3 linked regions of the Arabidopsis thaliana genome follow. The protein of the gene in region 2 interacts with the protein of the main gene of each other region in a pairwise test. Each region holds a gene or a part of one and is shown on either strand. Other genes may lie near its edges.

Region 1 (3,754 bases), about 14 Mb from region 2:
TATGACGAAGATTCTCCCAAGAAAAGCAGTACTCGTGCAGCTTCGAGGTTAGAATCTCATGTTTGTTCTAAAGATCCAAATTTCCTTACAAGTTTAAGAAAGTATAATCTTCAATTCTTTGCTGTGACTGTAATGCTTTTAGGTCTGTTTTCATGTTTGAAGGCTAAGATTTGGTACAATGTTCTATAACATCGGTTACACAATTGTTCCATGCAGATCCACTTCTAATGTTTCATCTGGGCATGATCTGCTTTCACGAAGAGCATCACAGGCACAACACCATGAAGAATGGCATACCGACTTACTAGCTTGTTGCTCGGAACCTTCTCTTTGTAAGACCACACTATTTGTTTACAATGTGGCTCCACTTTGTTTTCTCTGTTACATAGATGATTAGCGTTTCACATTCTATACTTCCTTGTTATCTGCAAAGTTCTCAAAGATTCAATGATGGAACCGCAGGCTTCAAGACATTCTTTTTCCCGTGTGGTACTTTGGCAAAGATTGCCACTGCAGCATCCAACAGGCACATCTGTAAGGGATATTATTGAATACCGTGACTTTATTAATTTTCAATCTTTTAGTAATACATGTGAAAGCTAATAAGTCAACTGGATTTTTTTTAATTTTCGCTCTCCCAGCTTCAGCTGAAGCATGTAATGAGCTAATGGCGTATTCTTTGATACTTTCTTGTTGCTGCTATACTTGTTGCGTGAGGAGGAAACTCCGGAAGACACTGAACATCACGGTATTACATTCTCATTCTCTTCCACTCGCTTGAATCCTTACCATTAATCCCATTTGATCCCAAAAATCTATATGCTTCCGAGAAAATTTCTATCATTTGCATACCATAAACAACAAATGAAATTTCGGTTAAAGATTAAGTAGACACCTGCAAAAAAATTCAGTAGTAACTATCATGGTTGAGATTGAAATGGCTATGTTTATGCCACTCAATGTAGAGTCGGAATGAATGCTTAATGTTTTCTGATTTCGCAGGGAGGATTCATTGACGATTTTCTATCTCATGTAATGTGTTGTTGCTGTGCCCTTGTACAAGAACTGAGAGAAGTTGAGATTCGTGGGGCATATGGTATGATTTACATACAAACATATTATCAATATTTGTTTCAATCTTGAAGCACTAACAAAGATCTGTCTCTCATATCTTTGCAGGTACGGAGAAGACGAAAATAAGCCCGCCTTCGTCGCAGTTCATGGAACATTGAAATCTTCTATTATACAAAAGGTGAACAAAAACAACGATTTGTTGTAACTCTGGATACGAGACGAGATTCTTCTTCGTACTACTCACTTAATATTATTGTGTTAAATCGTGGAGTCGTATGTAAATTAGTTTGGGATTCTCATCTTAATTTCAGCAATTTGTGTTGTGTGTATCACATATAGACTAACTAATTCTTATTTCAACCTTTTATCACAAGATAGGGTATTAGGTTTACCGGATGGCCAATTGAACCAAACTTGTGTTTTGGGTCAAAATAGTAGTTTTCTTTTATGAATCAAGGAGAACATATACAATTTGCTGGTGGGTGAATATTAATATTACAATAGCAAATTAAGGAAAATTCTTTGAAGAAGAAAAGAGATGAAGAAATGCATGTGAGGTATCATTACCATGACTAAAAAGCCTAAAACATTGACAAAATTGATATGACTGATGATGATTCTCTTCTATTGCTCCCAAATTGGACAAAACTTGTCGGTTCCTTTTAATGGATGGTTACATGTTTACGGTTTAGCATCTTTTAAATACTTATCAAACCATAATTTCTTTACTAATCGTCTCACCGGTATGGGTAGACTCGTAAATAACCACTTTCATCTTCTTCCCCAATTTTTCTTGCTTTCTCTAAACCCTAGTTTCAGACAAAGTAGTGACATTTTTCTAACAATTAAACCAATATCGCCGTAGTCAACCACCGCATAACGTTTTGGCGCCGCCTGAGGCTGACCTGGGGCTGCTAAAGATTTTATCGCGACGACTCTCTTTCTCTCTCAAACTGGTAACTAATCACTTATTTGCTTGTTTCGATTTTGAATGTGCACACATCGCTATCTATTCAATATATTCGCTTTATAGCAAGACTTAGCAATATACAGTGTAATAGGATTGATTATATACTGATTGAGTAAAAAAGACTAATGATTTCGTTTAGAGTAACAATCTCTTAATTATCTCGTTAATGGCGGAAAGTAGTTAAGTCTCGTGAATTAGATGTTGATAGCATTGTCTACTCCTTTGTGTTGTAATTCCTAATCTAAATTTTCCACAGTTTCAGCTGCTTGCGAATTGGAAATGGCTTGTAATTCCTCAGGCTGTGAGTCAGGTTGCTATGACCGTGAGAAAGATAATGGAAGTAAGATAGTGGATGATGCAGTATCTGGTGGCGGTAATCATGAGAGTGTCTGCGTCAAGTGTAAATGCAATGCGCCTATGACATTTGGTGACGGTGGCTTCGACGATGGAAGATTCTGCGCAGATTGTTTTAGGAACAATGTCTTTGGGAAATTCCGTCTTGCTGTTACTTCTCATGCTATGATCACTCCTTCAGATAACGTCCTTGTTGCTTTCTCTGGCGGATCATCTTCCAGGTTTTGCTCTCTTTTTTTCCTTTAGTTTCTGTTTTTTGATATGTTATTGATTGGTGTCTAAACGTAGCAAGTATGATGTTAGGGTTTCTCTTCAATTTGTGCACGAGTTGCAAATCAAGGCTTTGAAGAATTACGAGGCGAGTCGAGATAGATCTTTACCTGTGTTTGGTGTTGGTGTTGCTTTTGTGGATGAAACTGCAGCTTTTCCTGCTCTTTCCACTGAAATGATTGATGCAATTGAGTGGGTTCGATATACTGTCTCGTGTTTGTCTCCACCTGCTAAGGATCTCCATGTTGTTCCAGTCGAAAGCATATTTGGTTCAGACTCTCTTGACGCACGGGATAGACTTCTGAAGCTATTAGATTCTGTTCCTGACGATACTGGAAAAGAAGACCTTCTGCTGCATCTGAAAATGTTATCTTTGCAAAAGGTTTGGACATTATATTGCTTTTGTTTCTGTCTGGGAAAGAAATTCAGATTTGGAAATATCTTTTGTTTAATGTTGTTTGATAAACCTTTTTAGGTTGCCGCTGAAAATGGGTACAATAGATTAGTGTTGGGATCATGCACGTCGAGAATTGCTTCCCATGTTCTTACGGCTACTGTCAAGGTGTGTTGCTTAGTGCCCTGACTTGACTCGTGTTTCCTCTGGCTTAGTTATTCTATAGATTGCATCTTAGAGTGAGAACTTCATGCCAGAAAGCAATCAATGGCTACCTTAAAGAATGTAGATATTTTGGACTTAACCAATTACATCTCTAAAAATTGAAGTTTTGGTGTAAAGATTTTATTTCAGTACACAATGTTTTGTGTACTTTATTTGGACATTCCCTTTAGACTATGTTCTATCAGAATTGTGAGTTGAATTGCTTTTTCTTGAAACAGGGACGAGGTTATTCACTATCAGCAGATATTCAGCATGTTGATGCTAGATGGAAGGTTCCCATTGTACTTCCACTTCGAGATTGTGTTCGACTGGAAATAACTAGACTCTGCCTTTTGGATGGGTTCGTTTATTGGCTGCCTAGTCTACATTGTATTGTTATAGTGAACCTTATTCTTGCATAATCCAACTATTGAGTGACGTCACATATTCTGGGCAGGGCAGACTTAAGACTGTGGAGTTGGCTTGTC
Region 2 (3,754 bases):
CACTTTAAGGCCTTGGCGAACTTCGTCATCTAAGAGGATATCGAAACTCCCAAACTCGATTTTTTCTTGGTTGAGGATTTCAACCACTTTCCCACTGAACCCACACTTTGGTTCTTCTGGTCTTCCTTTCATGAACAGCATAACTGGTTTGGAATTGACCAGACCTTCGAGCCGAGCTCGGAGGGTCTCACTTAAGCCTGTGTTTCCTGAACTAACCCCTCCTCCTTTTCCAGCTTCATCCTGACTTTCTTTTGAACCAACTGTCGTGATCCCAAGATCTTTGAAAGCATCTTTTAGTTCACCGCTCTCGTGCATCGCTATTGCGATATCAGCTCCACCAAGAAGCTCTCCGTTGCAGTACAGCTGAGGAAACGTTGGCCAGTTAGAGAATTTCTTCAAACCCTCTCGCACTTCGTTATCCGATAGTATGTCAAAACTTCCAAAATCAACGTTAACCTCTTTCAAAATGTCAACTACTTTCCTGCTAAACCCACACCTAGGCTCTTCAGGAATACCTTTCATGAATAACATGACAGGGTGAGAATTAGTGAGCTTTTCCAAACGGCTCTTGAGAGCATCGGCGGTAGATACAGGCTGAGCTCGGTCTTGTAAAGAAGCTTTCGCATTCTCCTTCACAGTTTCAAGAATCGTTGGCCCAGCAGCCAACCCTAAGCTTGCAGGAGCAGCAGGCTCCGCAGAAGTACTAGAACCAGCAACTTTGCCAACCTTATTAGCTAAACTTGATGGATCTGCACCCTCAAGTGTATCCACAGTTTTACCATCCTTCAATAAGAAAACGAATTCACAGTCAGAAGAAAGTAACAACTTTCAGAACAATCATTACAGTGCAGTGACAAAGATTCAAGCTTTGAACACACTCTCAATCCTATAAAGACAGAAAATTGCAACCAACCAATTAAAACAAAGAATCAATAAGTCTGGAGCTAAATGGATAGGCGAACCATCTTCTTCTACTACCTGATTAGATAAACAGCTTTCAGTAATCTAACAGAGACGCAAACTAATCAAAACAAAAACCCTAAATCCTAAACTTTCGATCAAAACATAGGGACAAAGATTCAAACTTTTGAACACACTCTCAATGCTATAAAGACAGAAAATTGCAACCAAACAAAGCAACATAAAGAATCAATAAGTATGACTTCATCAATGTCTTCTTCTTCTACCAAATTAGACAAACAACTTTAAGCAAAAACAAAAACCCTAAATCCTAAGTTTTGATCAAATCATAGGGAACAAAAAAAACGTAACTTTACCTTGAAGAAGACGAAATAAGGCACAGCAGCAACAGAGTAAGCCTCAGATATCTCAGGATGTTCCTCAGCTTCAACCTAAGAAGATAAAACCAATAACAGTCAAAAACCTCATTGAAAGTGATAAAATTTTGAATTGGTCAAGAGAACAGAGACGAACCCTAAAGAAGTGAGCACGAGGGAAATCAGTAGCGAGATGAGAGAAAACTTGATCCATCTGCTTCGAAGCATCACACCAAGAAGCCCAGAAGTGAAGCACGACTGGTGCGCCGCTCTGGCGCAAGTTATCAAGCTCCGCCTTTGAAACGATATCCTTCACCGTACCGCTCATCTTCGAAGAGGGAGAAGGATCTCTTAACACTTTTTTTTTGTGTTGTGATTTACCAATTTATTATCGAGCAGAATACACTCTGTTGCTGGAGAAAGAAAGGAGATTTATGTAAATATAACAAAATAAAAGGACCTAACGATACAATTAGGGTTTTTGTGTGCCCAATGTGATGCTAAAATTGCTCACTTATGTAATTTCTTTTTATAAAAATAGTAAAATTATATATGTCAGCGGAAGGAAAAAAAAATTGGAAATTAAGTAAGGTAAAAATGTTAAAATTCTAGGTGATAACAATCTTTAAAAATAAAATAATTTTGAAAAATATTAGATACATTTAAATTAAAACTACTAAAAGTAAGTTTGACTAATAAAATCTTAATCCTATTTTTTTCTTTCTAAAATTAATACTAATTAGAGGAATTGTATATATCAATCCTCATCGAATTGGATTCTCATAAAACAGTCTAAGAATTAGGTTACAATTCTTTTTTTCTCCTTTGTTTTGTATGTGTGGAATTGTTTAATTCTGTTATATTAAAAATCCACAATTATTTTAGCATTTGTATTTTTAGTTATTTTATTATACTATCTTTTTTTTTAAATGATATAATATATAAGCTTACATCATTTAGATAATTGATGCATCTATTAATTTTTGTGTAACATCACTATTTAAAATGATACAAAATTTACATCAATGGAAACTGATACTAGTTAACGACTAATCATCGACTATAAAATGTGATGTAAATGTTTACTTAATTTGTCAAAATCCTACATTTCTCCCACAAAAAAAGAGGTTTCATAGTTTTCTTACATATAGTGACCTTGGTTTTTTGGTGGTGTAAAAAAATATAAAACTTAGTATGCAAAGTTTGCCTTCATATTAATTAATGAAATTACATAATACTTTTTAAAAACAATTAATTGAAAGTCATTTTATTTAATTAACATCGATTATCCTACTATATTATTTGGGAAGTACATTTTAAATGTAACCTTTATTTTTGTAATTAATTACATGATAATGCCATTAGAAAAATTTAATCAAAAACAAAACTCTTTAATGACGTCATTAAGGTTACCAAAACTTTGATAAATATAACGTGGTCTTACCTAGATATTCCTCTGGGTATTCTTGTGATTCAATTATGTTCACGTCTGATCGGCGAAGACGTTTAATAAGGGGTTTGTTCTCGGTGAGAAACCTTTTCCGAACATAAGCATCTACAGATCGGATGTAGAACCCACGTTGAGCCATAGTTTGTTTCATATTGTCAAGAACCGTTTTCAAGCTCAATTTCTTAGGGATGTGAACATATTCTACATCCCACAATTCCTTAAGAAAAAAGAAAAAAAAGTATACTGATCCGAAAACAATTAACAAAAAGCGAACAATATACTACTACATTACCTTCATAGGCTGCAATCCACCTCTATTAGTGACCACGTTGGTGCTTAGATCTTGCATTGGAGGAAATCCTTTTGGATGAGGAGTTTTTGATTTTGATAAAAACTCATCTCTACCACGTTCAACTTCTTTCTCTTCCTGTTTCTTCACACTGCGTCTTCCCTTTCCTCCAGGTTTTCCTCTTCCTCCAACCATTGTTGACAGAATCGGCGCAAAATGAGGGTTCAGACGAAATGATGGAGGTTTGTACGTATTCTACACCCTCGGTGATTTATTATATAAATATCAATTTAAGAGAATAACCTACTCAAATCACTAACTAATCCATGATTATTATATACTCATACTTTGAGTTTGGATTACAAAAAAAATATTCGAGTATGAAAAAACTATTAAAATGGTTTTATTGAAAAATCATGTAATATTAAAATAAATTTAGTAATAGTACATTAAATATGTAAAATAAAATAATATAAAAATAAATAATAAATGTATCATTAACCTATAAATTAGAAGTTGAAGAGCTTACATTAATTATTTAATAGACACATGACAAATATATATGATTTTGACCAACTTTCATATATATGATTTTGATAAACTGATGCAAATACTTAGAACACTTACAAAAAGTGATTTAAAAAGATAACATCTTTTTTTTTAGTTGACTCAAATTAACATTAGTTACAACAAGCAATGCAAATATTATGTATACTTTTAAATTATTTGCATCAACAA
Region 3 (3,754 bases), about 14 Mb from region 2:
AAGCTGAACCAACCTCTATCCCATTGTCATTGACATTCAATGCGTTGAGTTCTGGGACTTGAGCAACAGAGATCAGCACCTGATACTGTAACCTCTTCAATCTCATTTCGATTCCCACCTCTGTATTACCTACCAGTAGTTTTGCATCAGGATAATTTGCTTTGAGCTCAAGCAAGTTCTGAAGACATACGGGTCTATACCAGGTAATCCCCCCATTTCCCCTTAACTTTAAGGGAGTTAACTTCCTCAGCAAAAGTTCAGGGGGGAAAATAAGCTCCTTATCTGTATACTTAGCTCCATCTATATCACTATAAGAGATTGACTGAAATCTATCTTCATTACAACTGGCAACTTCATTTGTTGTTTTTGATCCACAAGAGCAAGGTTTGCCAGTAGATGGGCAAATAGTAGAACCATCTTGAAGGCTAAGTGAAGATACACCACAGTAGAGAGCATCATCAGATTTTGCAAAAACCCGAAACGCATCAACAATGGGTCGATAACCAGTACAACGACATAGATTTCCTGCAAGACATTCTTCAATCTCCTCCTCAGAAGGTGAGTTTTTACTTGACCTCAACAACGAATACATGGACATGATAAACCCGGGAGTACAAAACCCACATTGGGAACCATGGGAAGATGCCAAAGACTCCTGAGAGAATCAAGATCATAACAGTGACAAAAGAATCTCCGCAAAATAAGAAGAAATAGAACCTGAGAGAAGTAAATCTTACCTGGACAGGGTGCAAGCCAAGTTTGCGATGCCCAAGTCCCTCAATGGATATTACATGCATCCCTTCTACAGAATAGAGAGGTGCTAGGCAAGCGTTGACAGCATAATGCCTGCAATAAAAGTTTCCGTATGAACAGAGAAAGAATCAATAAGAAGGCGCAAATATAAACTAAACAAAGCCAACATATAGGAGGGACAGATACGCACACAGAGGTCTTTGACTTCCTGTCATAACTAGACACCATCACCGTGCAAGCCCCACAACCACCTTCGCCGCATCCCAGCTTTGTACCGGTCAATCCTAAATCTACAAGAAACATCTGTAAGTTAGAAACTACTTCATGATCGTTTAGAAAAAAAGATTGATCTCTGCAAGTCATTTTTTGTCCCCAAGCGAATCTAGCAATTGGAGCATAATCTTACTCAAATAAAGACAGTGGTCTAAAAAAACAAAAGAACAGTGGATCAAACATAATCTCGATTTTTTTAGAATCCAGAATCTATAAGTCAAACATAAGCCTTTTTCTTTAACATACTAGAGTAAGAAACTAGGAATCCAAAAAACAGAATCTTCATAGAGAGTATCAGTTCAAAATTGAATTGAAAATTAAACTTGTTTGAGTACTTGAAATCATCCCCAGCAATTGGATATTAATCAAAGAAGTTGATACGCACCTCTGAGATATTCGAGAAGTGTCATATGAGCCAATCCATCAGGCAAGACTCTACGAACGCCGTTAACGTACAGTAACGCCTCCGTAAACTCATCTCCGATCTCGCCGTCCTTTTTCAGTGAACCCATTTCTCAAATTGAGAGAAAACTCGATTGGGATCGAAACAAAAACGAAGATGGCGAAGTTGATTACGCCAAGTCAAGAGAAGCAAAAAAGGAATAACATTTTCCTTTTTTAATAATAAAATTCGTGTTCCTTTCCGATAGCATCCACCGAATGAATACGCATCTTCATCATCATCACTTGTGCAGTCAATTTTTTTTTTTTTTTTTTTTTTTTTGTAAAGAACCCAAAATAGAAAGAACGAAATTTAAGTTTGAACAAAGTAAAACAATTGAAGCCTATATGATGTTTTTACAATGCCACTTATATATTTGTTTAACTGAATTTTGCTGATTATGTTTCGTTTATAAATTGTAGTCTGATTAGTTATGACTAGTGTGTTATTGTCTTGTCTTAAGATTTACTTTAAAAGAAATTTTGATGATATTGTTTGTTTTATTTTTGGTTTTGATATATGATGATGATAAGCGTCTTGCATTGCTCAGCATAACTGCTTCACATTCTTTGCTCACTTGAAGTTAGAGGTTGTTCAGAAAAAAAAAATCTGATATTTTATCTCGATGGCGCGCGCATTTAGTCAACAAAGTTGCTGCTTTGAAGAAACATGTATCATGTTACATCATGTATTTGGAGACTGGAAGTAACTTACATATATGACTTTGACAAAATGGATTGATCCATCTTTCTCCCCTCTATTAAAGTTTAAAGCTCAAACACTAAGCTTTGGGCAGAAATCTGAATTTGCAAAAGGAGCTGAAAACTCGTCGAAACAAGCCATCCTGATACGCTCTGGAGTGGCTGGAGTCTCCAGAGGGAACCAGTTGGTGAGACCTACCTCGCTTCTAGCCGCTTTGATTGCTTCCTTTATTGCAAAGAAGGCTGATGCTGCAAGAAAGAACGGTGGCTCACCCACTGCTTTAGATGAATGTATTGCCTTTGCATTTGGATTACCCTGAGTATAATCTCATGTTCAGTTTCAAATGTGTTGCTACCAATTTAAACAGCTTGTTCCTATAGTTGCATACCTTGAGAAGAGAAACATTCAGTTGGAACGGCATGTCGTTGATGGAAGGTATTTTGTAGCTTCCGGGTCCGCAAGTGAGTAAACTTCCTGGTTTAATCCATTTATGAGCTGCATCTCCCCACTTGAGTTCTTCTAGAGCTACCCAACCTAGTCCTTGTACAAACGCTCCTTCTATCTGCAAATGGTGAATTTCAGAAATAACACTTTTCTCTATGATTTTCTTGGATTTTAAACATTGCAAAAGGCCAACGAACAGCTAAAAGCGTAGGATGTTGAGAGAAGATTGCGCACTTGTCCAATATCAATGGTTGGGTTAAGAGAATATCCGAGATCCAACATTATGTCTGCTTTTCTTGTGTGAAAATCACCAGTCAATGTATCTATCTCAACTTCAGCAAAGGCAGCTCCATATGTGTAATATCTATATGCGTTCCCTTTTCCAGATACCCAATCAAATTCAAGTTCTGGAACAATGTGAAAACCGTGAGCTGATAGGTCTATACGTTGAAAGTAGCAGGCACTTGCTAGCTACATACACTCAGAGAAAAAGAGAGTTTTGTTCATCAAAATCTTCTGAGTTTATATCAAATTGCTAGAAGAAAGAAAGAATACCTCAGAGAATGTGTTGAAATTGTGTTTAGATGCAACAGGCTCCATTCTTGCTATAATCTGCTCACAAGCGTCTAAAACTGCAGCACCATACATATCAGAACTCGCAGAAGCAGCAGTAGGTGACGCATTAGGAACCTGTTACAAGGCAATCAAAACGACAAGAGAGCAAAAACTGTGAGGCATTTGGAACCTATTAAGAGACCACAGAAATGATAAGAGAGAACAACAACAGTTTTGTCTGACTACGTCTTGGCCAAAAGTCCACTGCTTGTAACCGAGTTAAATGTACCTTGTCGGTGCTTGTTTCTGACACAAAAACCGAACTAAGGAGAATGTTAAAGGCCGTTGCAGCAACTTGAGCAACCTTTGTATGCAACCCTTGGCCCATCTCAACACCTCCATGTGTCACCAAAACAGTCCCATCGGTGTAAACGTGAACAAGAGCACCGGCCTGTGACAGCCGTTTAATTATATATTGGATTAAGTATCTCAAAATTCAGATTCTAGCTTTGAACGGTAGTGCAATGGTGAGATTTCCAAGGAAGCTTTAGCTTAATCTTTTCAGTTCCTCGACAGATAACTAAA

The links.
Region 1: the proteins of GRXS17 (region 2) and AT4G35910 interact in a two-hybrid assay, tested with the Arabidopsis thaliana proteins (one study listed by BioGRID).
Region 3: the proteins of GRXS17 (region 2) and XDH1 interact in a two-hybrid assay, tested with the Arabidopsis thaliana proteins (one study listed by BioGRID).

Annotation. Positions count from the first base shown.
Region 1 is NC_003075.7:17,009,584-17,013,337, reverse strand, and holds the start of AT4G35910 (Adenine nucleotide alpha hydrolases-like superfamily protein), read left to right. Parts: upstream 1-1,695; 5' UTR 1,696-2,030; intron 2,031-2,300; 5' UTR 2,301-2,323; coding exon 2,324-2,619; intron 2,620-2,701; coding exon 2,702-3,050; intron 3,051-3,143; coding exon 3,144-3,230; intron 3,231-3,505; coding exon 3,506-3,627; intron 3,628-3,728; coding exon 3,729-3,754. Other genes in the region: MCA1 (PLAC8 family protein), read left to right, coding at 1-47, 217-332, 463-534, 642-748, 1,003-1,096, 1,180-1,232. UniProt on the Arabidopsis thaliana protein: Plays a central role in 2-thiolation of mcm(5)S(2)U at tRNA wobble positions of tRNA(Lys), tRNA(Glu) and tRNA(Gln). May act by forming a heterodimer with NCS6/CTU1 that ligates sulfur from thiocarboxylated URM1 onto the uridine of tRNAs at wobble position.
Region 2 is NC_003075.7:2,518,320-2,522,073, forward strand, and holds the start of GRXS17 (thioredoxin family protein), read right to left. Parts: upstream 1,744-3,754; 5' UTR 1,606-1,743; coding exon 1,435-1,605; intron 1,353-1,434; coding exon 1,278-1,352; intron 784-1,277; coding exon 1-783. UniProt on the Arabidopsis thaliana protein: May only reduce GSH-thiol disulfides, but not protein disulfides. Participates probably to the maturation of iron-sulfur proteins and to the regulation of the redox state of the BOLA proteins.
Region 3 is NC_003075.7:16,623,446-16,627,199, forward strand, and holds the start of XDH1 (xanthine dehydrogenase 1), read right to left. Parts: upstream 1,747-3,754; 5' UTR 1,539-1,746; coding exon 1,412-1,538; intron 1,044-1,411; coding exon 944-1,043; intron 847-943; coding exon 738-846; intron 656-737; coding exon 1-655. Other genes in the region: XDH2 (xanthine dehydrogenase 2), read right to left, coding at 2,243-2,485, 2,559-2,732, 2,849-3,085, 3,170-3,304, 3,459-3,620. UniProt on the Arabidopsis thaliana protein: Key enzyme involved in purine catabolism. Catalyzes the oxidation of hypoxanthine to xanthine and the oxidation of xanthine to urate.